4 linked regions of the Canis lupus familiaris genome follow. The protein of the gene in region 4 interacts with the protein of the main gene of each other region in a biochemical or structural test. Links are inferred from orthologs where the notes say so. Each region holds a gene or a part of one and is shown on either strand. Other genes may lie near its edges. The genes, in order: UBE2E3, SGK1, NDFIP2 and NEDD4L.

Region 1 (7,528 bases), on a different chromosome or scaffold from region 4:
CTCTTGGGCTTAAGATATTAGAAAAAGCCTTTGGTGATTAGTCCAATATATAGAAAAAGTAATTCAGCTTCTTTAAAAAATGACCACTTAGTAAGGTAACATATGCAAAATCTCAGACCTAAACATCACTTTTCAAGTCAACTATACAGGTTACTATGTGGCAAGTATGCACCTCTTGAAAATGTTAGGAATTATGTATTAATGAGTTTATCTCTGAGGTTATATGTCATAATCTGGTCCAACTCATCAGCTATCATTTTAATATCTGTTATTACTATCTCTAAGACAACTAACTGTAATCCAAGAGAGAAGGGAGACTAAGAAGCCCTTCATTAGTAAGTGGCTGCTTTAAAGCACATGGTAGCATGGAAGGTGCAAGAAAAGGAAACACTGGTGCCAGTCATTGCTTTATTCTTGTCAAACATGCTTTGTACAGCTACATTATTAAGAAAAAAAAAAACCATCAGTGACAGAAAGAAAATAATTATAGGTAGCATGCCATTAATAAACTAAAAGTTATTGTGAAACTTCTGGTCTATTCTAAATGAAATGGCATTGATAATTTCCTTGCAAAATGATTTATGCTGATCTTTCCACTAATAGCATTTACTTTCTCAAATCCACAGTTTAGCAACCACAAAAACACACTGGTTTCTGTAGCCCCACGGTATGTGTTAATAAAGATTTGCTTACCAGGGTTGCAATCTGTCAAAAGAGAACAAATCGACAGCAAAACCTTTGAAATAGTCAAAGCAGGACTCCAGTTGTCTTTAAGGATGTCCAGACAGATGACTCCCTGACTGTTGATGTTGCAATGATAGATTCTGGTGCGGAAAGTAACCTAAAGGCAGTTCCATTAAAAACAAAGAAAATGAATGCTCTATTACCAACTAAAACTCTCACCAGCAAAAGTGACGAGTAACACATCATAGATACTAAATAGAAAATAATTTAACTGAAGAGTTAATTAAATACTACGTTTAAATAACATCAAAGTAAATGATTTTATTTGGGGCGCCTGGGTGGCTCAGTTGATTAACCATCTTTCTTGGTCTCAGCTCAGGTCTTGATCTCAGGATAGTGTGGTCAAGCCCCACACCGGGCTCCACGATGGGCATGGAGCCTAATTAAAGAAAAAAAAAAGTAAACGGTTTTATTTAACTAAACCTTTTTTACCCAGCAGATAAGGAACTTCATCAATTTACACCAAAGTGAGTAGCTGATTTGGTTGCTTGGTTTATGCTAAATGAATGATACAATAATTCTATGTATGTATGACCATATATACCGTGCACACGTGTGCACATACAGCTCTCTGTGTAAAGCAAGTGAGAGAAAACAGAAATGCTTTAGTGCCAGAGGTAAGAAGGAACTTGTGAAGTTTTTTTTTTTTTTTTTTACCATAAAACAAAAGTCACATTAGTTTCTTAGTAGAAAAGATCAGTATCAACTCAGTTAATGTCCTGTCATGTATCAGAAAATATTGGCCAAGGACTTAGAGGAAGGTTGATGAAATCACTTGTCTATTTTTCAGCCTTTCATTTCTGCTGTTGGTTCAGCGTCTTGTTAGACTAAGACAGTAAAACGAAACAAGGTCCTGAGGTAATGAATAAAGGAAACTAATACATCTGAGATATGTGGAAAAAAAAGAATAAATCATAGGAACAAGTACCGGCAAGTTTTAAACAGTCACCAACACTAATGGGGTGGCTAATTCTTAATATGGAGTAGCAGAGAAAAAAAGAAAAAGTTCCTGATTCTTAATATGGAGTAGCAGAGAAAAAAAGAAAAAGTTCCTGATGTTTTAGAACTAGCAGGATACTACATGATCTCCCAGATGGAGTCTAGAAAGAAAATATTAAAAGTTCTCAAAAGTATATTTCTGATAAGGATGCATAATTAAAAATAAGAAAATTTCAAAAAAAGAAAAAAAAAACAAAAAGAAACCAGTGGTCTAGCATTCAACTGAAAACATTCAATAAGAAAAAGGAAGAGACTGTAGCTCCAAAACCTCTGTGTAATAGGGTACACATACTAGCTTTATAGCTCTTAAGATGTGGCTAGTTGAAGTGAGATGGGCTAAAAATGTACAATATATACCAGATTTCAAAGACACAGTATCAGAAAGAGAGTGTAAAATATCACATTAATAATACTTACACTGGTTTCATATTCAAATGATGAGAATTTGGATGTACTAGATGTTATTAAAATTAATTTCACTTTTTCTACCCTTTTTAATGTAGCTCATAGAAAATTTAAAATAACATGTGTAGCTTGCCTTATTTTTGTCAGACACTTCTGCTCTAGAATATGGGAATAATATATGTTTAGATCACCGACAGCTGACTACTAAACAGACTGTGGTTTATAAACACAATGCAATTAATACTTTGAATCCTTTGGGGACGCTTAGGTGGCTCAGTCCATTAAGCCCCGCCTTCAGCTCAGGTCATGATCCCAGAGTCCTGGGATCGAGCTCCACATCTAGCTCCCTGTTCAGCAGGGAGTCTGCTTCTCTCTCTCCCTCTGCTTGCTCTTTCGTGCACATGCTCTCTCTCTCAAATAAATATATTTTCAAAAAATATTTTTAAAAATACTTTGAATCCTTTCAGCTACTAATAATTGGTGAATGGAAGAGAATTAAATTTGTATTATCCCTCAAGAAGTTCAACACCTTATCTGAACCTCAAAAATAAGCAGAACTGTATAGAAATAATTATACCTAACACCAAGATAAGAGCAGAAGTATTCTTTCTTTTTCACGTGTCCAACCACAGATCTGGATAGTGGTTCATAACACTGTGTGAGAGATCTTGGGCAAAAGGAATGATTCAACATGCAAGGGTTAGAAAATTAAAATACTAAGACTTCAGAAAAAAAAATTAATGCTAAGTTAAAACATAACCACTATAGTAACCAAAACAACTGATAAATCATACACAGAACTATAGTTTGAAACTCTTGTTAGTCAATTTCTATTTTACATTAAAAGATGCTAAGAAAAATAGGAGTCTTTCTTTAACAGATCTTCCCTCACAAAAATAATTTTGTAAAAAATACATCTTGCAAACTTTATCTAATTTTGCTGCCACATTAAAACCAATTTCAAGAAAAATGAGGCATCTGGAAAGAAGTATCACTATTTGCAAATACAGCCATGGCTATTTTGCTGTGGTTTTGTTTTCTGTAATATGGGAAACTTAACCAAAGAATGCAAAATTGAGCAGTTACGGATGTATCAGCACTTAACGTGTCATTTTGAATGTGAATACAATTTGTAGTATCAATAACAAAGGGCTTTTTGTTCCTTTATTTGATCTAGCAAGATACACTCTACATACTTGAAAACATTCAATAAGACAGTCGTTTAAAGATCTTAAATTCTGATGGGATCACTGATAACTCCAGTTGACAGTAAATACCTCTAGGTGATAGGGAGCTCTGGGTCTGTATTTTGAGGTAGATACCACTAGGTGGAACTGTTGTTACCTTATTAGATAATGGAGAAATAATCTTGGGTTTCAAAAAAAATACCTTCAATTTTTACTCTCTCTCAATCTCAACCCCACCCCCAACCCCAACCCCACCTATGCATCCAGGTGAGTGCAGGCATTAAACTCTACATGTATTTTAAATAGCGTAGGGAACATAAGGAACTATGTTGAAAGGAAAGACATTTCATCCTAGTTAGAGGCTTGATAACAACATACTTTTCCCCTGACAGGTCAGAAGTCCCTGTAACTAAACCATAATTATGTTCAGGCTTAATACTGGCGGTTTTTACCTGTTTGCTTGACCACTTTATAATGAGAAGTGAGAGGAGGAAACTACTCAGGTAATTGTCATGTTTAAGACGTGAAAAATAATTGCCAATCCTCACAAGGCACAACTCAACCCTTCTGTTATCCATCCAGTTCATACTGAGAGCCAACTGAGGCCTAAGCTACCCAACTACCCTCATTCTCATTTCTACATTGTATCTACAGAGGGCACAAAGTAAGCTGATTAAATAATAGTAGTTTCCCTCTTCTTTGCTATGGTTTGTTAGTTTTTGCTGATCTGTAAGGGTAAGGTATTGAGCACAAAACTCAAGCTATTTAATTCTTATTTAATTCTGTTTACTTTTTACCCGCATATGTTTCTCAAAGAAGGTTCATAGGATATTTTCCCTTAAAACATAAATCTAAAATGCATCTGCTTTATTGGTATGCAAAGTAGCATATTTTTATTTGCAATTAACAAACCCTCTTTCCGCTGATTATAAAGCTATTTGTATAAGGCAGAAATCAATTTCTTTCAGTTTTAAAATACTTGGGTTACATGAGAGTTTCCGTATCACTTCATGAAAAGCAATGAAATGAAAATGACTACATAAATACACATTTAATCTCTAGCATTTCAGAGAAGGATAAATATTAAAGAATGGACATCTAGGTTCTTACCTTTGGTGGCTTAAATGGATAATCAGATGAAAAAGTGATATCCAGAAAAAACACACCACCTTCATATACAGAACCTGGTGGACCAAGTATAGTCGATCTCCATTCATAAATGTTATCTCCTTTAGGCCCAGCACTATTTAAAAGAAATTAAAGATCAATGTGTGTATCTGTAAGCAATGGATGTTAACATCTTAAACCAATTAGGTATTAAAGGTAAATTAGCAACCTAGAGCAATGAGATAAATATAAAAGAAATAAGCCCCAATGTGTACATACAAATGTATAAACTTATGTGCAAATATTTCAAATTTACAGAAAAACTTCAAGAACAAAGAATACCAGTATAACCTTACCCAGAATCTCCTTGTTAGCATTTTGCCCCATTAGCTGTTTCATCTTTCCCTCCCTCCCATGCTTTCTATGTCTGTGTCTGTGTATACACGCACACACCGACACCCAGTGCTTTTTTTAAGCCATTTGAGAGTAAGCCTTTCCCCATAAATACTTTAGTGTGCACATTTCCTAAATTAACTTCCAATATAATCACAATGCAGCTACAATTTTAGTAAATATATCAGTAAAACACACTTTAACCTATAATCTGCAAAATAATGTCCACACTCAATAACGCCTTTTAAAAAATTTAATTTCCATCCAGATACAGAATCCAGTCTTGTGATCATCTACGTTCCATGTCTTTAGTTTCCTTTAACATGGAATCTTTCTACCTTGGACTTTTTATACATTAACATTTTTTAAGAATACATTCATCTCCCTCCCTATCACCTCCTTCTTTTAATAGAATCCTCATCTTTTTTGGAGTTATCTGATGTTTCCTCATAATTAGATGCAGACAGTGCATTCCCAGCCACGGCAGTACGTAAGTGATGTGTTCTCACGGTACCAAGGTATTCATTCACTTATCTCTAATTGGTGATGTTAATTTTCATCATCTAGATCAAGTGCTGTCCGATTTTCCTACTGCTTATTATCTTTCCCCTGCAATCAATAAATAACCTTTGGACAGATACTTTTCGACCATACCAATATTCTGCTCTTCATCAAAATTTCTTCCCTAGATTCAACACCCAACGGTGATTCTTGGCTGAACTAAACTGCACTGTGATGGTGATAAAATCATGATTTTCCAAATTCAGCATTTCCTCCACATTTACCAGCTAGCCCTTGATCCCTCTCTTGTTCCAATGGTATGAATCTGTGTATTATTGGTGTGGTTTCCTGGATTCTTACTTTTTCTAATGATTTATATAGAATTCATCACCACCTTTAATTGTTTTGATGCTCAAATTATCCTAAATTTGGCCAGTGGGAGATCCTTCAAAATGGCCCCTGTAGTCTTGTGACAGGCTGCTGTAATTTATAAGTACTTCTTTGATTTTCTGGCATAACTAGATGTTCAGGATTCCAGCTTTGGAATCAGTCGTTTCCTTAAGGAGCTCTGTCTGGTTCCTTTTAGTCTCACATTTAGGGAATGGTCAATGCTAGGTGCTAGAGTTCCAGGTACACTGCATTGTGCTCAACAATATTATCATTTCATTTATAAAATTTGAAAAAGAGAGATAATTCAAATAAAATTTAGCCTCACAATTATTGGCTGGTAAGGAACATTGAACAATCCTTAAATTCTCTTCCAATTTACCTACAGACTTCCATTTTCCCCTGACCTTTAACATCATAAATTATCTTGACTTTCTGAACTATATATATATATATATATATATATAATGCATATACAGCATTTCTTCTTTTAAAGGGACCACTAGAGTCTAGAAATGATCTGCGTGTTTGATTTGAAATAAGGATAAACCTGCATTGATAAATAGTCCACATTAATCACAATAGGACTTAAGTATAGTTAAAATAATTTAACTGTATCTTATTAATTCTGTAAAACAAACTGAATTGTAAAGTCAGGTAAATGATGTTATCAATAATCAAATGTATGCTCTGAAAAATAGTTCATACAGAAAGGGTGTAGAAAACTTGATGGTATAATCAAAATGTTGGCAGCATGCTTTAAATACCTATCTTTAAGGTAGGTACATCAACAATAAAATCTTACTATTTTGGCCTATGTAGGGAAAAATATTTTTTAAATAAATACTGTTTTATATGATTCAAGTATACACAGCATTGAAACTAATCACAATAATGGCTCACTGTTCTGTCATCACTTGAGAATCAGCTATATTCCCTAAGTGAATTTTTATTGTAACTAAAAACATAAAATTGAGTCCTAATTTTGTAAACAAACGAAAAAGGGTTTTAACCAGTTTCAAGAGCATTTCTTTTTCCAAGCAAATTTTTCCCTTGGTGACTTAAGATAATCATTATACAATTAAATTATAGTGTCAAAGACTTTTATGATATGGCCACTTCACTAAAATGTTGCTAAACTATACATGTCACACTGTGGTAGTGGTAATAGTAATAAAAAATACTAAAAACAATATTACTTAAGGATTATTCCATCTTTACCACAAGCCAGGCATTGTTCAAAGCATAGTGCATAACTCATTTAATCCTCTCTACAAATCCATGAAGTAGGTACTATTAGTACATTCCTATTTTTAGATGAGGAAACAAAGGTTCAGAGAGTTAAATAACTTTCCATATGTCCCATAGCCAAAAATGACTCAGACAGAACTTGGACAGTCTGTGAACTAGTCTGTACTGTCCTCAATGGTTTGCTATATATTTCCTCTTACTAATTTCAGTGCTGCTACATCTAATTTAATCTTCAAATTTTGCTAATGTTTGTTTGTGTAAAAATTCAAGGGGTGCTGTTACTCAAACAAAACAACAGAAACAAAAACCCAAAACCAAACTTCCTCAGTGCTATTTCTCAGTTCTTACAGGAATATGCTATGCTTCAAGGGATACACAAAAGTTGGGGATTACTATATTCTAATGAGTCGCATTATTTCAGACTGAAAAGAAACTGGTTGAAGCCGACCCCCCCACCCCCACCCTTTACAGTTGAAAAAAACAAGGCACAGAAAGTATATGATGCGTCTTAAATCCCCTTTGCCAGTTGGCAGAAGGACTGGGATTCATTCCTA
Region 2 (8,230 bases), about 9.4 Mb from region 4:
AAAGATTGGTGGGACTACAGCTGACCTCCTGAGTTTGAATTTTGCTACCCCTCTTAATAGCACTATGACCTTGAACCAGTTACTCAACCTCTCTGAAGCTCAGTGTCCTTGGCTGTAAGACAGGCATTGGCTGTAAAATGGGCATAATCAAGTGATTCTGAGGATTACACTAATAAAGTGCTTTGAACAGTGCCTGACCCTTAGTAAAAGCTCAGTAAATGTTAGCCCTCTGGGAAGACATGAAGCATTTCACATAGGAAGAGGATATTTGTTATCATTCCAATTCAACGCTTTAGGCAGACATAATAGAACAGTAAAGAGAAATACACGTAAAGGAATGCTGTTAATGGAACTGTGGTGGAGAATAACCACTTCAGAGGAGCTAAATTTTACCCCTCAGCTCTGCCAGGGTAAACATCATAACCAGGCTGAAAACCTTTGCTTTGTTCCCTGACATTTTTACAGGGAGGAGGAAGCTAGGGCAGTCATACCTCTTCACTTCTCTTCTGACCACTCTGGATTGGCTAACACCAACAGACAAGGTGGGCAGTGGTTAAGGCTATGGGCTCTGGAGCCAAGTGCTTTGATCCAAACTCTGATTCTGCCACTAACTGGCAGTGTGCCTTAGGACTACTTCCTCCATCCCCATGCCCCTTAGTTTCTTCATCTGTGAAATCGGGGTAACAATAGCAACTACCTTGGGATTTTTGTGAGAATTTACATATGTAATGTACTTAAGCCTCTTAGAACAGCGCCCAGCAAAGCTAGTGTTGTATAAGTGGTGGTGATTCTAAAATCTGTTATGATTAAAGAACAATACAACATATGGAATTGTTCAAATGCACAAAATCATGAAATACTGCATCAAAACAATAGTATCTTGTCAAAGTTGGTCACTAGGCAGTTAATTCTATGAAAACAAGAGCTAGATTTTGTTCCTACTCTATTGTTTAGAAAACAAATGGACATGGGGATCCCTGGGTGGCTCAGCGGTTTGGCAGTTTGGCGCTGCCTTTTACCCAGGGTGTGATCCTGGAGTCCCAGGATCGAGTCCCAGGATCGAGTCCCACATCGGGCTCCCTGCATGGAGCCTGCTCCTCCCTCTGCCTGTGTCTCTGCCTCTCTCTCTCTATGTCTATCATGAATGAATGAATGAATGAATGAATGAATAAATAAATAAATAAATCTTAGAAAAAAAAAGAAAAAAAAGAAAACAAATGGAAAAGGCATGAAGCACTGAACCAGTTAGAGGTCATGATGAGGAGGAAAGTACACTAGATCTAAGAGTGAAAACCCTACAAGTGAGCAGTGCTTAGCCCCATTCTAATCTGAGCAGGTGTCTTCACCTTCCTGATACTGTCTCCTCATCATTAAAACAGGGAGGTCAATTTCTCCAAAATTTTATATGGCTAGATATTCTTTGAAATTTTACAGAAGACAATATAATTATGGCTATAGAAGTCTTTTATACATACCTAATGTATTTCCAGAGAAGATTATCAAGTTGAAGACCATGCCATTTGTTTGTGTTTTCTGAGTCATAATGCAAGAATCTAAATTATGAACGGGTCTTTAAATCCATGAAAATGGATTATCGTTGGCACAACTGATAACTTTTAAAGCTCTTGGATTGTGCAAATAAAACTGATAAGGACATTTCCCCATTCATTTTAAGTGAATTTTTACAGACTCTGAGAATAAAAGATAATCCAGAGGCATCTAATGCGAACTTATCATTAACATGGAGACATTGAAAGTAGAACTCTTATGGAGTTTAGCTTAGCAAGTCTCAACTAAATGAAATTAAGCTGATTTAGTTGAGCTTTTAAGACATGAGAGTGGAAAGCATAAGTCTGAAGGATTTGGGGGAATAGCTCCAAGACTGCTTGTCTTCAGACTGTGCGCTGAAAAGGAACTTCCAGAAGCTTGTCTGCTGAGGATCGGCTGCCTCTATTGGTTTGATACCTCGCATAGAAATATAAAATTTCACTTGGAAAAAAAAAAGATTTTATGGTGGAAAATTTAAAAAAAGGTAAGGAGGATGATTTGCAATCAGAAGTCTGGACTAAGAACACAGGTTTTGGGTTAAACAAAGTTTAAATTTTAGCTCTGCTACTTTTTTAGCTACGTGACCTTGGGTTGGATGTTTAATCTCCCTAAGCCACACTCTGCACATTTAATAATTTCTCTTACTTCATAGGGTTTCTGTGAGGATTCAATGAGATTGTATATGTAAAGTACTTGGCCCTCAACTTCCAGAATGTAGGAAGCAGTGGATAAATGGCAGCTACACTTATTCTTCTAAATGAATGATGGGGCAAGTCATTGGTATTTCCCTCTGGTGAGTTTCTTGGTGCTCCCTTTGGAATGTTTCACAGGTGGCAGGAGCACCCCTCAAGCCTTCTGCAATCATAGTTTGGGTCCAAGCCTCAGTCTTTCTCGTGAGCCCTAAAATACCTGTGGGTTTTTTTTTTTTTTCCCAAGATCTATTCATGGTTTTATGTGGGCACTGAACAAAGCCTCACTTTGTAAGACTGTCCATCTAGGTTAAAAATAAATATGCAGCAATGTGTGGAACTTCAACAATAGAAGAAAGGGAAAATAGATTATTCTTAGCTGAAAACGAAGACATTCTAGGATATGAATGTGTATGTAGATGCATAGAAAAAAGCTAGAAGTTATGAACACCGACATGGTTGCAGCAGTTATGTCTGGGAGAGATTGGGGAAGAGGTGGGACTTACTTTGGCATCGTCTTGATGTTTTACACATTTATTTAATATTGGTGGTATAATGAAACACCAAAAAACCTCCCCAAAACCAAACAAACAAAAGAGCAAAGCCTAAAGCAAAAGTCCTGGTACAAAATGAAATGAGCTTTTAAAACAGAATTTGTATACCAGTAGACAAGAATCAAGGAATTTATCTTTGGGGCTATCCATGACTTCTTACAAAGTCACATTCTGCTGATTTTGCCGTCCTTGAGGAGCAAGGAGACCAGTAGGGGGATTTCTGATTCTATCTCCAGCAACTGATAAACCCAAGCTCTAGAAGGTAGATGAAGCTGCTGGCCAGAAAATCTTGGTATAGACCTCCTACTCCCTGCCAAATACTCAGATAAAACCGCAGCTAGTTCTTTGCAAAACTAAAGGTCAACAGAGGTGCCAGCTGAAGACGATGGGTAAATTATGCTTTTAAGCAAAAAGAAACCAGACGGTAAGTTATGTATCTATTAGTGCATTTTGATAGCAAAGAAAATAAGTAACACTTAAAAAGATTCTACCTGACAGCTAATTGGTTGATTAAAAATAAATAAATAAATAACCTAACTGACGAGTTGTATTTATTTATTTTTTTAAAGATTTTATTTATTTATGAGAGAGAGAGAGATAGGCAGAGACACAGGCAGAGGGAGAAGCAGGCTCCATGCAGGGAGCCTGACGTGGGACTCGATCCCGGGTCTCCAGGATCAGGCCCTGGGTGGAAGGCGGCGTCAAACCGCTGAGCCACCCAGGCTGCCCTGACCGAGTTTTAAAATACCATCCTCATCCCACTCCCACCAATACCACTAAATTAATTAATTAATTAATTAATTAATTAAAACAGAGTTAAGGGTTTAAGCACTGAATTATGGGCTATGACATTTTAAGAAATTATTATTAGCAGCAAAACATTTGTTTGCTGTTGGAGATTAGTTTTCAGAGTGGGGCCCATTCCTTGGAAAGAAGCATTTTGACTACAGGGAAAACCAAGAAATACTGCAGAGCTCTCAGAAGTTGCACGGACTTGATTTGCTTCAGCCTGCAATCTTCAGTAGTGAGGGATCTCCAGGAGCAGCAGGAAGGACAGGGTGGTCTTGCTTTGGTTTTAATGCATATGTTTTGGCCCATGGAGTTGGGGGAAGGCTGTGCCGTATCAATGAGACAGTCAAGGGGAGCCAGTGCTGGACCTCGAGCTGGGCCTGACTTACTGCTGCCAGCACGGCTTTCCCAGCTTGCCCATTTGGTGCAGGAAGGTAGCCTGGCCCAGTATGGAATTCACTGTGTTCTGCTGATGGGTTAAATGAAGGACCCTGTGTCAGGCACAGCACAGAGAGGATCTGAATGAAGGATGGGAAGAATGAATGGAGAGAGCCATTTTGATGGAATTGCCCTAGAGGATTAAATAGGACAGGGCATTTAGGGGTGGAAGGAAGGTTCTGTTGCTTACGAAACTCTCCACAAGAGTGTCAGTCATCGGTCCCTTAACAATCATTCATTTCATACCTCCCACTTGTGTATAAATCTGTCGGTTTATACAGACCAGAGCGTGACCATCACAATGTATCGGGTTTATCATGAAACACACACAAAAAAGACCTCCCCCACCCCTTTTCTTTTGCTCATTTGTAAGCAAAGTGATGTTCACGCTATGAATGGAAGCAGGAGGAATTGGAGGAATAAATGTATACAGCAGCATAACCCCATCTTGTCACTTGGATTCAGACCATCCACTGTTCTCGCTAAAAGAAAGGCAGTCATAACCGAGCAACATCGAGGCAACTTGAAATAGAGGATTTAAAATGCTGGATTCCATCATTTCTGCAAAAGGTCATTGTCGTCCTTTGCTATTTTTACCATAGACAGAGACCCGGCAAGTTCCCGGCTGAACGTTTTTGGAAAGCTGGACGCTGCCGCTTGCAATGAAGACGGCAAAATATCAGCCGAAACGGAGTCAATGAAAGGTGTGGAAAAAGTTGAACCCTTCCACGACGAGAGAGGAGAGCTACTGAATTGGTCCCTGACCGAAGAAGTACTAGCCGGGGCTGCACCCGGGGCCAATTCTCTTAGAAACCGCCCGTCATCTCGTGGCTTTGAGAAATGCCCCCTCGGCGCTCGCACCCTCGCCAGGGCAGCCCAGCGCACCCGGTCCTCCCAGGCGCCCGCGCCCGCGCCCGCGCCCGCGCCCGCACCCGCACCCGCACCCGCACCCGCAGAGGGGCATCGAGGCAGGGATATTTCCCAGCTGGACCACGCTTCCCGCGGCCCGCCCTTCTCTCCGGCCGCTGCAAGAGAACCTGGGGCTCACCCCGGGCCAGCGACTCGAGCGTCTCCGAGAAGAGCAGAAAACAAAAGGAACAAAACCTGTCCTTACCCGCTTCTTAAAAAATTGGAAGGCTGAGCATTTCTTGACTGGGAATCCATTCATGTCTTTGTTTACCATTTTCCACAGCGGGGAGCTCGCTGCGACAGAGCCAGGGTGGCAGCGCCCGGTGGGTGCCGCGGGGCCCGGCCGCCCGCCCCCCGGAGACAGTCAGCGAGGGCGCAGCGGGACGCGGAGCCCGGGGTCTTGCTCGCTCGCTCGCTCGCTCCGCCGCGCCGCTACTGCGGCAACCTCTCCCCGCTCTCGGTGGCCACGGCCGGTGGCTTCGCTCTTCCCATCGCGGCGGCGAACGGCGGGCGTCGGCGGCCGGCGGCCCCGGGAGATGCTCTGCGGCTGGCGGGCCCGGAGAGGGGCTCCCCGTGCGCGCCCCCGCTACCTGGCGGCCCGGGGGACGCGCGGCTGGCGGGCGGCTCCGAGGAGGGCTGCTGCGGCCGCGCAAGTTCGGTGGGAGCTGCGGTGAAGCAGCCGAGAGAAGGAGTAAGAAGGAGCAGAAGCCTCAGGGAGGGAGGGAGGGAGCGGGGGAGCGGGGGAGGGGGGAGCCGGAGAGGCCGGGGTGGGGGGGTGGGGGGGGGACGCGCTGCGGAGGCGCCGCGGATCCCGAATATCTGAGCCGCCCGGGAGAGGAGGCTTGGGCTGGGACGCACCGGAGAGCAGTTGACACCCCTCGGGAGGGCTACTTTAATAGTGTATTTCTTTACTTTTTTGTTGTTGGGACCATTTAGATCAGAGTGGCAGAGGAAACGCAGACCGTTTTTGTCTTATGCTCACTGACGTTCTTTTGGTACGTGTTCCTGAATACAGGGAGTCTCTCAATGGAAATGTGATCAGATTCAATCCTGATCTGTTCAGATGTGGAGGAAAATGAAATGTGGTGCAAGCGTAGGTAGAACAATGGAGGATCTCACACTAACCATATATATAGAACCCCTTCTAGTGTCCTCTCCCCACTTGTCATCATCTAGTGGGCAATAGTGAAAGTAATTGTCTTTTTCACTAAAGAAGGCCGTTTAAAAAGAACACAATGGACATATACAAAGTGCCTTATGGTTAAAACAAAAACAAAAAAAACATAACAAACAAACAAACAAAAAACACAAAGAGCATCACCAAAAAGTATTACTGAATCCATGTGATGGAAAGGAAGTCCTGATGAATGAGAAGAAAGCCGTTTCCTATCAAGTGGAAAGCTACCCCTGAAACCCTTACTCATGTCATTCTTTGCACATTAAATTCATTTTTAAGACACCACTTAATTTGTGTCTGGCCTGTTTTTCCGTGTTTAGTCTTTAATGTTGATATTTTATGGAGACTTTCAAAAATGAGAGTTGATGGGTAAATGGAGACAGCAAAGAAAATAAGCTTGGCATCTAATCTGGCACTGCTAGCCTATTAATGTATGGCTTTTTGCCAGTCACCTGACCTCATGGTGTCTCTCAGACAGTGCCTCATCCATGAAATGGAGGCAACTGCTCATTCCTTCCTTCCTTCATTTACTTGTGTATTTACTCATTCACTTGTTTGCTGTGTCATTCCATTTATCCATCAAATCAAATCCAAATGTACCAAGTGTCCCCAGGATGCAGAGCCTTTTCATAGTCACAAAGGAGTGTAATTGATAAGTAAGGGGAAGGCACATGCCAACTTGATAAAAAAAAAATGGCCAACTCATTAAAAACAATATACCTAGAAGAGAAACATACAGGCCAAATGGGAAGAGATGTGTTCATTTCATTGAATTGGAGTATAAACCTCTAGAGCTGGACCAAGTTTCTTTGGGAAATGACAGTTCAATCTTATTTGCTAAATGCTTTGAGATTTCTAAACACAACTAAATGATGGCATTATGAGTGATGGAAAAAAATCGACCATTCATTTTGGAGATATACATTAAATTGTCCAAGATGCAAGGATACATTATTTAATCCATGACAGTATTCGGTTTTGTGGTTCTTCTGAAGAGTTCATTTAAAACTCTGGTAGCTTGGAGAGAATCTTTGAGGATTGTAGAAATGTTCCCACCATGATCATGATGGTGGTTTTATGACTATGCGTTTGTCAAAAGTCATCAAACTTTTATATGAAAAGAGGAAGAACATTTTGCTGTATGTGAGTTATAGTGCTGTAAACTTGATTTTTAAAAATCATGACCATTCAAATTCTTTCCTGTTCTTCAACTTTCTTCTCTCCGGAAGGCATGTGAACAGATATTTATTGAGTTTGAGGGATATGTCGAAGTTGCTCTCTGAGCATCCTGTAGGCAAGGGATGCTAGGGGCCTTGCCTTAGTTCTACACTGACCTAGCAGGCATACTGGTTTTAAGTATACTGTATGTTTATTTGGGGTAAAGAGGGTTGGCTAATAGAAATTATAGGGGAAGAGGTAGAGGTAGAGGTAAAAAATCCTCTCCCTCTGCCCCAGTATATGTGATCCCTTGGAGATGTTGCCACTGTCTCTGAGTCTATGGTAATCCTAGGGAAGATTCTGTGAATACAAGTATCAATAGATTCTGTCTCTAAGGAAGTTACAGCTTAGTGGAAAAATATACACTGTGGCAAGAATGATATCTGTACTGGCATTATCCCCACTGCAGTTGGAGGCCTGGCAAGGTGGTTTAGAGTAGGCAGAGGAGGCCTGGGAAGTTTTTTTGCAAGGGATAATGTTAGTGCAAAGCATTAAAGAAAGAGTAGAAGTTGGCCAGATGAAGGAGAAGTATAGGGCAGGGATTCTGGCCAGGTCAGGGTATTACTTTGGACTCTATTTCGGTCACTGCAATAATAGAGAAATGTGCTGGATCTGGTAAGCCAACACTGTGTTGGCTACTCAGAGAAAACAAGGCATCTCTCATATCACTCTTACCTCTATTTTTATAAAATTACCTGCAGGTAGGCCCAGAGTGACTACCAGGTACTCACTGTCTCCTTTGCCAGGGTTCTTGGTACTTATGAAGGAGCATAGACTGCTGCTTATGGCAAAAAGGAAAGTAGGGTTTCTTCAACCATCCTGATTGTACATTAAACTTGCTTTATTAGTTGAATTAATTTCTTTACTTACCTGCTTTTCTCATTAAACATGTTTATTCTGGGATCCCT
Region 3 (7,528 bases), on a different chromosome or scaffold from region 4:
CATATAAATCACTACAACTATATTTATTAGTTTAGCCTCATATTTATTATAAAGGGAAAGTACTGACAAATATTACCTAAAGACTGATATACAAAATAAAAATATCAAGATGAAATTCTTAAAGTCTATGCACAATGGAGGTGAGAAATTCACTGCATAACAAGAATCTTCTGTGCCTATTGCTATGCTCAAAGAATTGAATTTACATGCTCATACTCTCACAGCCAAAGAAATAGAAATATCAGGAATAACACTTAACCATTTAATACGTCACTTTCATATACATTAATCCTAGCAACTCTGAGTTTCAGAAAAGTAATTTGCACAGTATTGCACAATCAGTAAGTAGCAGAACCCAGGGATTTCCTGATTCCCCCTATCTGCTCTGATAATATGTGAGGTTCATTTTTCTACAGGCAGTTTTAGCAACTGCCTGAATCTCTTCGGCAAACTCAGCATCTCTCATTGCTTAAAAAAACAAAAACAAACAAACAAACAAAAACCTGACAATTCTTAGCTCTTTTTTTTACTCTTCCCCCCCCATCAACCTAGTTTTTTTAGACTTTTTTTAATGAGTAATTTCTCCCTCCCCAATTTTTAAACTCTCTTTAAAATATGACCTCTAGAAACATAACACAAAAGTCCAGAGTGCTAATTAAAAAGAAACAAAACACCTGCATACCTATCACCATCTAAAGCAGTACAAGTAAAATGATACATATAGGTCAATAAACTGATTAGATTTATGCTAGAATCACTGCCATGAAAAACAAGTAGGTTCTCATAGTAGTCCACGCTATAATTTCTGTGATTTCCTCATTGTAACTACAGTATTTGTACATTTTCTCCATCAGAACTTTTTGCATTTCCAACATGAGAACACATTTCTTTCTAGCAATACTTTTCCTATTATATTTTAATGTATATTGACTTTAAAATAAGTTTTGCTAATGCTATCAATAAGAGCTAAAGATCTAAAGCTGGGCAATTTTTAATCCAATGACAGGAAGTGCTAACGGCAGTGTACTACTGAATGTTAAACACCAAAAAGGCACAAGAGTCATAAATTCTTAGAAAATACTTATTCAAAAAAAAGAAAAGAAAATACTTATTCAGATGTAAAAACACCACACGTGGCCAAGTAAATAGATTTCTTCAGTTCTGAAGACTAGAAGGAAAATTTAAGTGAAAGCAATGAATTTTAAGGCACTAACATTAAAAGTAGAAATTTAAAAACTGGAACAATGACATACATTATCCAAGAAGAGAGATCTTTTATATTAACAACAGATATGTAAGCTTTCAAAGTTTAAACTCCCACGATAGACAAAAATATCCTAACCAGTAACAGATGAAAGTTGGGAAAGAGCACAATTTTGCTACTGCTTTAATTTTCACTGGTTAATTTTACTTATTTTCTGTCTATCCTTTAAGGTAGCAGTTCTCAACCAGAAAATTTAATGTTTGAGGAGCTCCAGTCCCAGCTCCTTAAGTTGTGTGACCTCAAGCAAGTCACTTAAGCACTTTATGAAGCTCTACATTTTCATCCATAAAACTGACCCAGAAAGGCTATTACTTGCTGTATGACAGAATTTAAAAGTATTCAAGAGGACTCTGTAAGCTGTAAAAGCATTATACAAATGTCAACTATTATTACTGATGTCGCTCAGATCTGTAAGCCCAGTTGGAAAGTAACTGACTGAAGAACATAACCTCCACAGAAAATCGGTACTGTCAATGCTTAAAATACAACACTAAAAGGCTGAAGAAAAATAGTATCAATTGTTTTCATTAAAGAGATGCAAACTTCTAGAACTTAACTCTTGTGCTCAGTAACAATCATGAATGGTCTTTTAGTACAGTTGTAAAAATAAAATTTTGAGACTAGTAGTCACACACATTATAAGAATAATTGAACAGCCAGGTAGCAGGCTCCACTTGTCTTACAACTGAAAATTACCTACCTTTAAAAATGCCATGCTCTATTATCAAAACTATTCTAGAGCATAGAAAAATGAGAAGTTTCTCAGTTCATTCTATGTTGCTTCCATAATATTAATACTAAAACCATAAGGATAGTACATAAAGATCCCACTAATGAAACTGTAAAATTTCTAAAAAAATATTAACAAATCTATATCCAGAAGAGATGCGAACATGGTGATAATTTATTCTAAGAGTACAGAAATTGGCTTAAAAAATAAATCTATTAATAACATATTTCATTACATTGAAAAGTACAGGAGAAAAAACATTTAATTTTGTGATAAGGTCCCAAAAAAGATGACTTCAAGGCTTTTGGCCTACTGGAGCCATTTACTGAAATGAAGAAGAGTGACAAAGGAAAAGGTCTGGTGATAGGGGAAGAGGCAGGAGACAGTTGTGACAGTGCTGAAACTCACTCTAGTCTTTGAAACTCTTCTCATCAAGAGGTAGAGACTAATTCTTGAATAAAGACTAAACCTGGCGACTCACTTCTAACAAACCAAATGTGGCAGATATGACACTGTGTAACTTTTGAGACAATGCCATAACAGGTGACAGAGCTTCTTTTGTTTTTTTTTCTTTTAAGATTGTATTTATTCATGAGAGAGACAGAGAGGCAGAGACACAGGCAGAAGAAGAAGCAGGGTCCTCGCAGGGAGCCCAAAGCAGGATTCGATTCCAGAACCCTGGGGATCAGCCCTGAGTCGAAGGCAAATGCTCAATTGTTGAGCCACCCAGGCATTCCAGTGATAGAATTTCTATCTGGCTTTCAGAATGCTTGTTCTTGAAACCCAGCCTCCATTCAGGGAGGAAGCACAGGCCAAAATGAGAGGCCACATACAGGTGTTCTGGCCAATAGGCCCAGCTGAGGCCCTGGCTGAAGCCTACATCAGCTGCCAAATATGTTAATAAGGAAGGAATCAAGGTGACTTGAGCTCCAGGTCACCACAAGACAATAATCACATGAGATCTTGGGAGAATACTGCATAATTGGGCCTCCCCCACCCCAAAATCCACAAGAACTAATAACAATAAATGGCTCTACTCCATTTAGCTTGTTAAACAGCAGTGGCAATGGTGGCCAACAACCAAAAATATTACAATTTTAATCTTACCATCCTCCATCATTCAAAAACATACACAAACATCAGCAAAACAACTGATTTTCTTTCTTTAAGACTACCATCAAATAGGTTTTGTTTTTTTGTTTTTTTAATTTAGGATAGCAAATTCACTGAACTATATTCTGGAAACTTAAAGAATAAGAAGAAGAAAATTCAGCCCATAATAAATTTTAGCAAGCACCAATCCAACAATTAAATTATAAAATAAATAAAACTGCTATACATCAATATAAAAACTGTCCATCAAACTTGGCACTAAACAAGCATATTGATCTAAATAAACATTATATACAAATAAAAGGAGTAATCATTTATTAATTTATCAGTGAGAAAACCTTCATAAAGATGATTTTCAGTAACTGCATAAAATTGTAAATGAAAAAAGTAAATGGTTTGGTCGTTCTACACAATCCATGTGGTCTAGATAAAATCTATAGAAGCAGAAATGGTAATCAGAGAAAGCTGGCAAGAGTTTAAGACAAATGATGATACTAATTATAGAATAACAGATAAGAAAGATGAAATATTCTAGTGAAGGGATTTTTAGTATTAAAATTTTTATAACAGATTTAAAGAATGTTTCATAATGAATGTATAAAATATTTAGAGGTTATTTATAATAGTACATAAAAACATATTAAGAAACGTGTTGGTGAGGATGTGGAGAAAAAGGAACAGTCATGTACTGCTGGTGGGAATGCAAAATGGTGCAGCCAACGGTGGAAAACATTATAGAGGTTTAAAAAATTAAAAATAGAACTACCCTATGATCCAGTAATCACACTACTGGGTATTTACCCAAAGAACAGAAAACACTAATTCAAAAGCATATATACACCCCTGTATTTACTATAGCACTATTTATAATAGCCAAATTATGGAAGCCGACCTAGTGCCCCCTGATAGATGAATGGATAATGATATATACACATGCACACAATGGATTATTATTCAGCCTTTTAAAGAAGAATGAAATCTTGCCATTTGCAACAACATGGATGGAGCTAGACTATATAATGCTAAGTGATATAAGTCTGTCAAAGAAAGACAAATACCACAGAATTTCACTCATATGTGGAATTTAAGAAGCAAAACAAAGGAAAGAAAACACAGAGACATAACAAAAAAAAAAGACTACTAACCACAGAGAATAGATGGTTAGCAGAGGGGACGTGAGTAGAGGGATAAGCGAAATATGAGTGGGATGAAGAGTACACTTATCATGAGCACTAAGTAAAATACAGAATTGTTAAATCACTATATTGTAAACCTGAAACTAGTATACCACTGTATGTTAATTCTACTGGAATAAAAGTAAAAAAAAAAAAAAAAAAGAAAAGAAAAAAAAAATATATATATATATAAAATAATTAATTTAGCATTACTGGGAAAATATAAATTGTGGCCAGAGAAATAGATGAGGGTAGTTCTCCAGAATGACCTGAAGAGATACAATGAATAGTAGGACACAGGAACCACTGCTTCATGTCCAGGAATTATTACCGTGTATATGATTAAATTATGTGCACCCTTCACCTCTGTTCATACATACCACATTCCTGCTCACATTCAGCATCAATAACACCTTGTTTTATAACTATATAAGTAGACATAGACAAACACAAATATGTATGTGTGTATATATACATGTATGTATCTATATGTGCATGTGTCTATATATATATATACATAAATGAATTTTGTGCATATACAATTTATTTCTTCCAAAAGGAATATGCTACTCCATTAGAAATAGATTCTAGTAAGCATAATAAAGTTTACACTTGTAATTTTTTTGAAAGCAAAAATAAGAGACAAGTAATTTATGAATAAGTATTTTACAAACTGTCCTTCGAGAAAACCTTTCTTAAAAAAAAATATATAAAACCAGGAAGCCTCTTTAACAAACTCTATAATTAAACAAAACCACACTAGTTTAAAAAAAAAAAAAAAAGCCTGAACTACTAAAAGTATTACTAAATGTTTGGTACTAAAAACAATACCTGAAGTTGTAGGTACTTCCACAGTAATACTACTATAAGGTGGAGGAGAAGACTCCGTTTCAAGTACCGATGCTGAAGGAGTGGTCTGAATGATCTGTGGTGTTGGGTTTGAAGTTGATGATTGTTCTAGAGCCGATGACTCTGAATTATCCTCTTCATTGTGAAGCTAAGAGAACAAAGAAAAAGAAGTATTAATGTCATTCTGATTATTATTTTAAAAAATTTTTTAAAGATTTTTACTTATTCATGAGAGACAGATAGAGAGAGAGGCAGACATAGGCAGAGGGAGGAGAAGCAGGCTACATGCAGGGAGTCCGATGCAGGACTCGATCCTGGGACTCCAGGATCACACCTTGAGCTGAAGGTAGATGCCCAACTGCTGAGCCACCCAGGCGTCTCTATTTTTTTTAATTTTAAGAGAATTTTTAAAGATTATTTCAGGGAAAGGATCATTTTTTAGCTAAAAACAAAGTAAAACCATTTAAAAAGATGAACAAAATTTGTAAGAGACTTAAGTAGTCATGAAGAATTTAAATTTTGGTTGTTTCTTTACAGTAAAAATGAAGTTCAAATTAAGAAAGCATAAAGAAAAAAATCATGACTACAAATAGATTCAAATTCATTCAATCCTACCATAAATATTGTCTACCATGTGTTAATCACTGTGTACTACGGTGAAAAGTAAAGCACCTAATAATAAAACCACAATACCATTTCTATTACACTAGTATCTAGCATAATTGAAAATGTAACCTGAATTAATAAAAGGAAATAATAAACATTCCAAAAATGTAGAATACTCTGATGTTTTTCTCAAGTACCCAAAGAATTACTTATAAAGCAAGATCAATCAATCCAATGTAAAATCCTGGAAGATGTTCTTCAACACAACATATTTATTGAAAGCTCAGTAAGTGCAAGATAATATTTTGGATCTGCAATCGTTTAACTCATTTAATCCTCACAACAAATCTATGAAATAGAGAATGTTATCCCATTTGACAGATTAAAAGGGTGGGGGTGAATACAACCTTGAAAATGTAGATATCTAAAGTAACTTGCCAGACATCACAGCAGCTAGGAAGGGTAAGGCCAGGAATCAAACCTAAGCAGTAGGGCTATGGACTTATTACTTCATTTATAAGTATTCTTTTAAATGCTCATTTGTTAGGAGATGATAATAACATGTAGGCAAACTAACTATAGGTCAACCAAAAGCATCAATACTCTAAAAAAGTGACTCATCGAAAAGGCATGCCTTGGTACACAGTCTGTTAAATAGACAACTGCCTTTGGCTCAGGTCATAATCTCAGGGTCTTGGGAATGAGCCCAGCCCTGCATCACATAGGGCTCCCTGCTCAGTGGGAAATCTGCTTCTCCCTCTCCCTCCGCTCCCCCACCCCTTGGGATTTTTCTCTCTCTACTAAATAAATAAAATCTTTTCTAAAAAATTTTAAGAGGTACTATAATTCACCTAAAATATATTCGGAAAAGATTCTTACTAGATTTTTTAAGATACTTTTAAATTCGCTAGAATCTTGGTTTGAAGAGAAACTACAGGTCTTCAACATTATTCAATTTTCATACCTTAATTTATTCTTGCACTTTAAAGAAATTCAATGTTAAAAATAATCCCCAAAATAAATTTTGTCGCAGAGCAAATCTGTACACACACAAATCTGAGTTCTGTGATGTAGTGAGGAAAAAAAAAAAAAAAAGAGCATGCAAATTTCTGTTCCCCCTTTTAGGAGCTTTGATAAACCTCTTTTCAGTTCCTCGGTGTCTCCAAGTCTAAGTTCAAAATGCAGCCAAAATCCTCATAGAATTGTAAAATAACATTTGAAAAGCATCTAACATTAACACCTAACACACAGAAGGCATTTAATAAATACTAGTTTCCTCCTTCCCCTCTAATTTAATATACTTTATTTTGTGGCCTGAAATAATTTGGTGCTATCAGTCCAATAAGTAGTTATTCCCTTGCCTCAAAATATATATATATATATGCAAAGTAAAATTTACTTCACTACTGTTTGTATGTGTCTTGGTTAGTGATCACACTAGCATGATACTTCTGTGAGTTCATAAATTCTATTGTAACAGAACTGCCATAAACATACTTAAAATCATTCCTCAAGTTAATAAGTTTGTTTTTTTCTTTTCCCCTAACACCAAGGTTTAGGTAATAACATTTACTCACAGATACTGAATTTAAGGTCAAATAATCATAAAGTGAATTTTCTATGAGTTTTGTATTTACTTGCAGCAGTTTTCTAAGCAGGCATCACATGACCATCCTCCTGACTAGCAACACTCTGTCTTGCGTCACCAAGCATCTTCTATGTTTCCTATTACAAGGTACCCAGGAGAGTTCCATCTTTGATCATACTTTGAAGAGCAAAAATATTAGATGA
Region 4 (8,008 bases):
TGCTACGGTAAAGAAACCAAGATCGTCTGGGGATTTCCGTTTTGCCACGGTCCTCACCCCTTTGAACAAAATCATTTTTACTCTTTAAGGAAACTGTTTTTCAGTAATGAGAAAATTAAGCACTTAATAAAACTGAACATAAATTAAGACGTCAGTTTCTATAAATTCCATAGGACCCTTGAAGAAAATAAAAATTCAATAAGAGTAGAATTTAAGACAATACATTATATTCACCAATTTATAAAATTGCTTTTAAGTGTCACAACAAAACCTAGTCCCCTTTTAGGGTTTTTCTTAAACGTTAGCAATCACGATGCAGACTGTAACTGGAGTAAAGCACATCAACCTAGGCACAAAGCACATCAGCCAGCTCTGCAAGGCTGGACTCAGGCATTTGGAGTTGGAACAACTGGGCAAGTCTTACCTGCCTCTACAAAACTGTTCAGCACCACCTATAGATCCAAACAATATCTAAACTAATTTCCAAACGCAATCTTGCAATTGTTTTGCACAGCTGCAAAGATGGCACGCAGGATCTCAAGGAATCTCTTGACATGGACCATTTTTTAAAAATTAACAGCTACCCTCAATTACTTACAGATGGCTATTCGGGTGGCCTATCTCATAGGCTCCCTGTTTCTTCTCCGCCAATGCCCAGTGAAGGGCATTTCCCTTATGCTACCCCTTTTCTCAGAAACAGAAAGGCAGCGATCTGACTGGCAACTGACTTCAAAGTGAAGGACTGGGGTACGAGTCCGAGAGCTGGCCCTTAACGAGAGTCTGGAATTCAGCAACAGCCTGAAATAAGGATGCTCCATAAAATGAACAGTGTAAAAAAATAATAATAATAAAATGAGCGGTGTATCATAGTGCAACAGCAACTTTTTTCTCTCTTAGAGGTACAGAAGATAATGGTGCATCTTAAGGTTGACAGCATCTTCAAGATAATATACCTAGGCCAAAGGTTAACCTTAAATGTTTGTTCTGGAGTTCAAAGAACCCTAAAACGATAAGCAGTAGAGGGGGTAGCAGGAACTGCAGCACAGCTACCACCTCCCCATTGTCCCCACAACGTGGACACAATTGTTGCCAGGTGAGAATGGAGCCCCAGTGAGGTCAGATTTTTGCCATTTTCTGTAAAACTTCCCGAGCTTTAAAGCACAGCGAAGACCATACTAAGCCAGCCTCCTGGTCAACTCAGACCTGCAAGTCTTCAGTTTACAACTCCTGATGTTTATCTCCACTGCAAATTAACTTCAACAACCCGGCTATGAAGACATCTCATGATACCTGGAAGACAGGAAGAATGCTACAAACCAGGCCTGTGCAATCAACAGAATGGAGTTCAAATCCTGACTCCATACGTACTTACTGTGTGTCCTTCTAAGGGTCACCTAACCTCTCTGAGCCTCTATTCCTCATCTGTAAATCCTGGCACACCTCTTAGGAGGTTCGTGAGGATTACACGAGACAGCAAGTACATAAAGTTTGCTAACACGGTGCTAGATGCAGAGAAAGCATATGAAACATTAGCCAACTATTCTTGTTTGTATATAATGCAGAGGAAGGCTGTCAAAGTGCTATCCCACATCAGCCCGGCCATCTGTCTCATGTAACCACCAAAAAACTGCCGCATCTAATAAGCTGTCATTCAGACTTTAGTATTCCACCCAGAAATCTTTTCAATAAATGATACCTTTCTAAGATGTTCCAACAAAAAGACTTCACAAGGTTAACAGTAACACTCCGGAGTAAACTGCCAAAATGTGCTACAGATTGCCAAAAAAAATAAACAAAATAAATAAAAACAAAAAGCACAACAAAAAAACTGCCCAGGAACCAAGCCAGATGCAGCAACTAGTCCAACTGTTCTAATTCCAAACCAAATCTGATGCTGGGCCCAGAGTCACAAGTTTTGCTAATTTGCTAATCTCTCAAACACCAAAGTCCTTCATCTGATGGCAATTTCAAATTTGGTTTCCCTAAGGTGACCTGATTCAAATCAGTAAATAGGAGCTTGAGCTCACTGAGGAACCTCAACAAGACACACAAAAAATAAACAGTACACGCACTCACACAAGCAAAGCCCATATTTAATTCCTCTCTTTCTACAAGCTGGAGAGACCTGGGAGCAAGATCCTGTCTTGGCATCCCCCTGCAATGCTTCATCACCAGTAGTACTTAGAGCTAAAAAATCTTTCTGAGATGGGACAGAAAGCTAAGTGCGCTCCAAACACGCAACGCTTTCCATCAACTTCCAATGAAAATACAAACTCACTTTTAAGAAATGTGCTAGGTATAAGGACACCTAGTTTGCTAAGAGATGTGTAAGATAGCTCTTATGTAGCAATCAACATATCTTCACGTGTGATGTTCGGCAGCACACCAAGTGTGTGAACTGAAGTGCACTCATACTTAACACGCCTTGGAAAAACAACCCTGCCATTGGTTTCATGAGCCAGTCTGCTTTAAGAGCCTGTTAAGATCTTTCATTTGTTTTCTTACACAGACTAATTCAGGGAGACAAAACAAGCTGTGCAAATTCAACAATTTGTTAATATTCTACGAAGGCATTCCCTGATTTTCCAAAGGCTAACCCGACGGTGCGATACCTCCCATAAAAAAAGCAAACACCATAGAAATGTGAAGTCATCAAAAACAGTCTTGCCTTATTCCCCCCCCCCCCCCCCCCACTGGTAGAAGCTGAAAAAAGACAACAGATGCCACTTGTCTTTTGTAATCTAACGTGCGGAAGGAACTTAATAGTCCCAGCAACATATCCATCACTCAATCAAGAAAATGGCCTTAGCACCTTGGGCTGTTCCCCACACCAGCCCTAAACACCGGTCCAGCGACGTGCAGGAGTAAACCCAGTCATACACATACACACGTATATACACACACATACCAATTCTGTTTATATTCCACCCTTCGCTTTCACACTGGACACCAGTTAAGGAGATCTGAGTTAACTAAAGAGGCAGGATGTGCCCTAGGTAGATGGTGACACTAGATATAAATGTAAACAAAGAACACACAACAGGGGCACGCAGAGAATCCATTCATCAAGTTGAATTTCTCCAAACACTCTTAATATATTTTTCTTTGGTGCGCTAAGAATCATGTAATTTAAAATTTACAAGAGACCAAAGCTGAAGTGCAGCTGTCTTCCCCCCACCATACCTCAAAAAGCCCTTTGTTCAGGAATGTCAGTATCTCAGCACCTTTCTAAAAGCTCACTGCCTGCCATCTAGGGCTGCTAATTAAATGGAGAAGTACCGAATGAAAGGGAAAGCTCCTCAAAAGGGTAGAGGAGCCGGGGAGCGGGAGAAACCCCTGGGTGAAAGCAACAAGGAGCCTTTTCACCACCCATCCCCAGGTAACTGCCCCCCCCCTTCAAAAAAGGGGGAAATTACCTCGCCCTGAGCACAGCAGGGCAAAATAATCGAAAACGTAAATCACACATTATTTGCATTGTGATCATTCTTTGATAAAATACATACCGAGGCAAGCTTTAGGTAGCTCTGGCGAGAGAGAAAGAAAGAAAGAAAAAAAAAAAAAAAAGTCCTACCCCCAAACACTCTCTCCACCCCCAGGTAACTATTCCATTACACACTTACAAAGCACAGACACACGATTCCATTACACACTTGCAAAGTGCACACACGCACAATTCCATTAGTCACAAAGCACACACACACGATTCCATCACACACTTGCAAAGCACACACACACACACACACACGCACGCACACACACCCCCAACCAGGGCAGGAAAGCTGCAGAGAGAGAAGCCATCACGGGGCAGGTCCGGATAACAGCCTCTCCAGCAACCCCACCCCCAGCACCCGAGAAAGAGGGGACCTCGGAAAAGAAAGGAGGGGGAAGAAAGAGAAAGCCCGAAACCCTCGAATTTCCAGGCATCAACTTTTCATGAAACGCACGACCAGGAGAGGAAATACCTCCCCGCTGAGTAATGCACCGAGGGCCGTAAAGCGCCCCCGGGAGCCCCGCGCCCGCGCCCCGCCGACGGGCCCCCCTACCTGTCCCCGCCCTCCGGGGCCGAGGCGGGCGCGGGCGCGGGGTCCCCTCCGGGCGGGCGGGGGGGCGGGGGCCGCGGGGACACCTCGGAGGCCGCGAACAAAGCTCACCCCGCGCAGCCACAGCCTCGGGGGCGTGGCTTCCCGCATCTGCTTTATTAATAAGGGGGAGCGATTGAGCTTTTGTCTCTCCACCTACCCCGGGGGTGCCGGGCTCGGAAGCCGGGGGGGGGGGGGGCCGAGGAAAAAAAGGAAGAAAAGAAAAGAAAAGAAAAGAAAAGAAAAGAAAAGAAAAGAAAAGAAAAGAAAAGAAAAGAAGACATGGCAGGGCTGCGGGCTCCCTCCAAGTTTCCGGCGGCACCTGCCGCCCCTGGCCGCGCCCCCGCCCCGGGACCCCCGGGACCCCCGGGCGCGCCGGCCTCGGCCCCCGCCCCTGCCCCTGCCCCTGCGCGCACGCAGCCCCGGGGCGCCCGCCGCTCGGCCCCGGGAGGTCCCGCCGACACCCGGCCGCGACGCGCGGCGTGGGCTCCCGGGCCGCAGGGCCGAGCGGCGGGAAGTTGCCCGGGAGCCCGGGAGCGCGGCCGAGGGGCGCACGCGTCTCCGTCCCCGCGGCCCAGGGCGGCGCGCACCCCGCCCGCAGACCCCGCGCCCGCCGGGACCCGGGCGGCCGCCGCTCACCTCGTCCTCCGAAAGTCCGTAGATCGGCTCCCCGAGCCCGGTCGCCATGGAGCCGGCGCCCCCCGCGGGCTGCGGGGCGCTCCCGGGCGGCTGGGCCGGCGGCTCCTGCGCTCCTGCGCTCCTGCGCTGCTCGGCGCCCGGCCTGGCGCGTCCCGCGGGCGGGCTGCGGGGGGACCCGGGCGCCGGCAGGTGAGGGAGCCCGAGCGCCCGCCCCGAGCGCCCGCCCCGGCCGCCGCGGGCGCCGCTTCCTCCCGGAAGGCCGCGGGGCGGTGCAGGCAGGCGGCCCCGGGAGCGCGCCCAGCCCGCCGGCCGCCCTCCCCGGCGCTCTCCGAGCCGGCTCTCCGCGCGCCCGAGCCCGGCTCCCCGCGGCCCCCGCTCTCCCCGCCCCGGCCCCCGCCCCCGCCCCCGCCCGGCGCCCGGGGGGACCCTCCCCGCTCGCCGGGGCGGGCGCACGCGCCCCCCAAGCCAATCAGAGGCCGCGCGGCGGGGCTCGGGGCCCAGGCCCCCCCCACCCGCGGGGCTCGGGGGCGGCGCTCGAGGGCTGGCGGGGCGGGGGCGGGGGCGGGAGCGGGGGTGCGCCCCGAGCCGGCCCTCCCCGCGCGCGCAATGGGGCCGGGGCGGCCTGGGCGTGGGGGGCTGGGGGCGGGGGCGGGGCGCCCGGGGCGCCCCGGGCCACCCCCTTCGCGCTCCCTGCGCCCCGAGCCCCGAGCGCGCCGCGATGGTCCGGGGGGGAGGCGGGCATATGCTTCCGGACCCCTCGGCCGGCCGCCCGCGGGGGAGAGGCTGCCCCGGTGTGGCCGCCGCTCGCCACTGCCTGGGTCAGGCTCGGGGGCGCAGGCCGAGGCCGAGGCCGCGCCGCCCCGGCGCGCACCCGCCCCCCTGAGCAAAGCCGGCTCCGCTCGCCCGGGCGCCCCCGCGGGAGACCGTGCAGCTCGGGGAGCCCCCGCCCCCCGCACGTGCAGACCCGGGCGGGCTCCTCCCGCGTCCCGGCCGCGGTGCCTCCCGGAGCACATCCCCTCCTGGTCACCCCCAAGATCCATAGGGACGCCGCCGACGACTTTTAAATAAGCGAAAGAAATGCATCCCTCCACTTTTTCCGGGAAGCCTTTCCTTAAATTTAGCTGGTAAAGGCAGTTGCGAATTTTTGTCTTTTTATAAGCACAATATGCGATTTTTCCTTTGAAAAGAAGCCTCACTCAGAATGTCTACTTTGGAATGAACAGGGCGCTTTTAGAATGTTTCGAGGAAGAAAGGAGAACTCACGTGATCCATGAGCGTCCTTATGCCTGTTTCCAGCTACTTTGCTAAAATATCTGCTTGTGGGCCCTGCTAGATCGTTTTCGAAAGAAAATGGGCATCCCCCACCTTACCGCCCCCACCTAGGCCTCCCGGTGACACTGCTGTGGCTTAAAACCCTGTGCCCTGCGTCTGTATGGGTCTGTATGGTGGGTTTCTTTGCAAGACTTAACCCCGTGGAGCCAGCACTGTCCTGCGAAGCCTTCTTGTCTGCAAATCGTGTCCTATTAAGTCAACAGAACTTAGATGCCAGAAAAGCCCAACGGAGGGGGAAAAAAAGAAAATTACCTTTATGGAGGAACAGAAATGACCGGTCTGTTCTTTTTGGGCCAAAGTTTTTTCACTTTTTCAGACCTAGATTGTTTTTCTTTTAATAAACAAAAGGTTCTCTAACATGCACACCTGTGCACATACATACACCCCCCCCCCAAATTTTAACATGGTGCCTGTGACTCCCATAGGCTTCACTGCTTCTTTACCCTCACTACCCCAAAACTTTGCCAAGCCTTGTACCCTGGGAGGTGGAGGGGGCGTAATAGATTTTAAAGTTTTCAAATAGAGAATTGTAATTTCTAATGATATAGGACACCTTTCCTGCACACTGGGGGTACACAGGTCCAGGCTTTATCTCTGGGGAAAGCCATAACTTCTGGAAACCATAGAGGTGTCTCATACTTCCCTTATCCCCTCTTCATCATTCCTGCTCCCCTGCCCCACCCCAACAGCCTACACTACTGGCACTCTTGGGTCATATCCTTGGCTTTCCCTTAGGGATGGCAATTAGAAACTACGATGTGAGACTGACCATATGTCATTTATTGTAGGGGTGCTTATAAAACCATGATCCATACCATTATTCAATGGCCCCTGTTAAGAAGACTCGAGACATTTCAGACCTATGAGGAAAAGCTTTCTTTCTTCCAAGGAACTGGTAAGCTTTTACATACGATGAGGAGAACTATTTCAAATGATTGTTTTTCTATTTACTTTGGCCACCAGGAAACTCAGGACCAATTTTAAGGCTGTGAGCCATAAGAGAACCTATAAAAAATTGAAATCAGTACCCGTTGTAATTACGAATCGGCTTCCCCCCAAGGCAGTGGTTCTCTATGCTGAATGCACATTGTTACCATCTGGGGAGCTTTAAAATGATCCAGTGCCCAATACCAAGTGCTCAGCTGCCAGCATACGAGACTATGATAACATTGGTTCAGGGGAGGAGTGCAGGCATCAGTAGTTCCAGTGGTTTCCCAGGTGATGCTAATGTTTGTGTTGAGAATGGCAGCCTCTGCCGGTGGTTCCCAAACTTCACTGTACACGGGAACACCTGGGGATCTTTAGAACTACTGTTCTCTGTCTCCCTCCCTCATACACGGATCTGGTTGATGTGGGGTGCCACGTGGGCATCAGGATTTATAGAGGCGCTCCAGGAGATTCTAAGAGCAAAATGTAGGGATCTCTAGCCTACTCTCTACATATTTTCTATGATCCTGATTTTTTTAATTTAGAGAAAACTGCATATTATAAACATACATCCTTTGTGGAAGGAGGTAGGATATAAACATATGTACTTAATGGGACTATTATGGACTGCCCAGTTCTACATGCCCCCTAGCACCCTGAAGTCTCAGAATAGCAATCCACTTTTTTTTGGGGGGTGGGGGGTAGGTAGTGTGGGGAGGACAACCCTTAAGAGAAACTATTTGGCATTCTCGTCCAAAGCCAAAGTGTTCTTGCATCCTCCAGTCAGGTTCCCGTCTACCCAACAATTAGCATAGAATTTGTTCCGTTTTGTTCCCTTTGGAGGCTGCCTTTAAACATCTAAGATTTGATACCGTGGGTGTTTGGTGAATGCTCTTCATTAGGTCATCAGAAATGAAAAATTAGCAAGAACAATTTTAAAGTACAACAGGTGATCACAAATAGGGAACATTCTAATACTAAGCCTCTTTACAAATTGAGTTGGTTTAGTTAACTATGTGTACCTTAATTGA

Evidence for each region.
Region 1: the proteins of NEDD4L (region 4) and UBE2E3 form a complex in vitro, tested with the Homo sapiens proteins (3 studies listed by BioGRID). The link is inferred for Canis lupus familiaris from reciprocal best matches to the Homo sapiens genes NEDD4L and UBE2E3.
Region 2: of the proteins of NEDD4L (region 4) and SGK1, one has a biochemical effect on the other in vitro, tested with the Homo sapiens proteins (5 studies listed by BioGRID). The link is inferred for Canis lupus familiaris from reciprocal best matches to the Homo sapiens genes NEDD4L and SGK1.
Region 3: of the proteins of NEDD4L (region 4) and NDFIP2, one has a biochemical effect on the other in vitro, tested with the Homo sapiens proteins (2 studies listed by BioGRID, with this or other methods). The link is inferred for Canis lupus familiaris from reciprocal best matches to the Homo sapiens genes NEDD4L and NDFIP2.

Annotation. Positions count from the first base shown.
Region 1 is NC_049257.1:24,631,478-24,639,005, reverse strand, and holds part of UBE2E3 (ubiquitin-conjugating enzyme E2 E3), read right to left. Parts: intron 4,579-7,528; coding exon 4,446-4,578; intron 842-4,445; coding exon 694-841; intron 1-693. UniProt on the Homo sapiens protein: Accepts ubiquitin from the E1 complex and catalyzes its covalent attachment to other proteins. In vitro catalyzes 'Lys-11'- and 'Lys-48'-, as well as 'Lys-63'-linked polyubiquitination.
Region 2 is NC_049222.1:27,423,059-27,431,288, forward strand, and holds the start of SGK1 (serine/threonine-protein kinase Sgk1), read right to left. Parts: upstream 5,266-8,230; 5' UTR 5,202-5,265; coding exon 5,133-5,201; intron 1-5,132. UniProt on the Homo sapiens protein: Serine/threonine-protein kinase which is involved in the regulation of a wide variety of ion channels, membrane transporters, cellular enzymes, transcription factors, neuronal excitability, cell growth, proliferation, survival, migration and apoptosis.
Region 3 is NC_049243.1:32,849,867-32,857,394, reverse strand, and holds part of NDFIP2 (NEDD4 family-interacting protein 2), read right to left. Parts: intron 5,280-7,528; coding exon 5,114-5,279; intron 1-5,113. UniProt on the Homo sapiens protein: Activates HECT domain-containing E3 ubiquitin-protein ligases, including ITCH, NEDD4, NEDD4L, SMURF2, WWP1 and WWP2, and consequently modulates the stability of their targets. As a result, may control many cellular processes.
Region 4 is NC_049222.1:18,067,948-18,075,955, forward strand, and holds the start of NEDD4L (E3 ubiquitin-protein ligase NEDD4-like), read right to left. Parts: upstream 4,835-8,008; 5' UTR 4,767-4,834; coding exon 4,719-4,766; intron 3,974-4,718; exon of another isoform or gene 3,695-3,973; intron 1-3,694. UniProt on the Homo sapiens protein: E3 ubiquitin-protein ligase that mediates the polyubiquitination of lysine and cysteine residues on target proteins and is thereby implicated in the regulation of various signaling pathways including autophagy, innate immunity or DNA repair.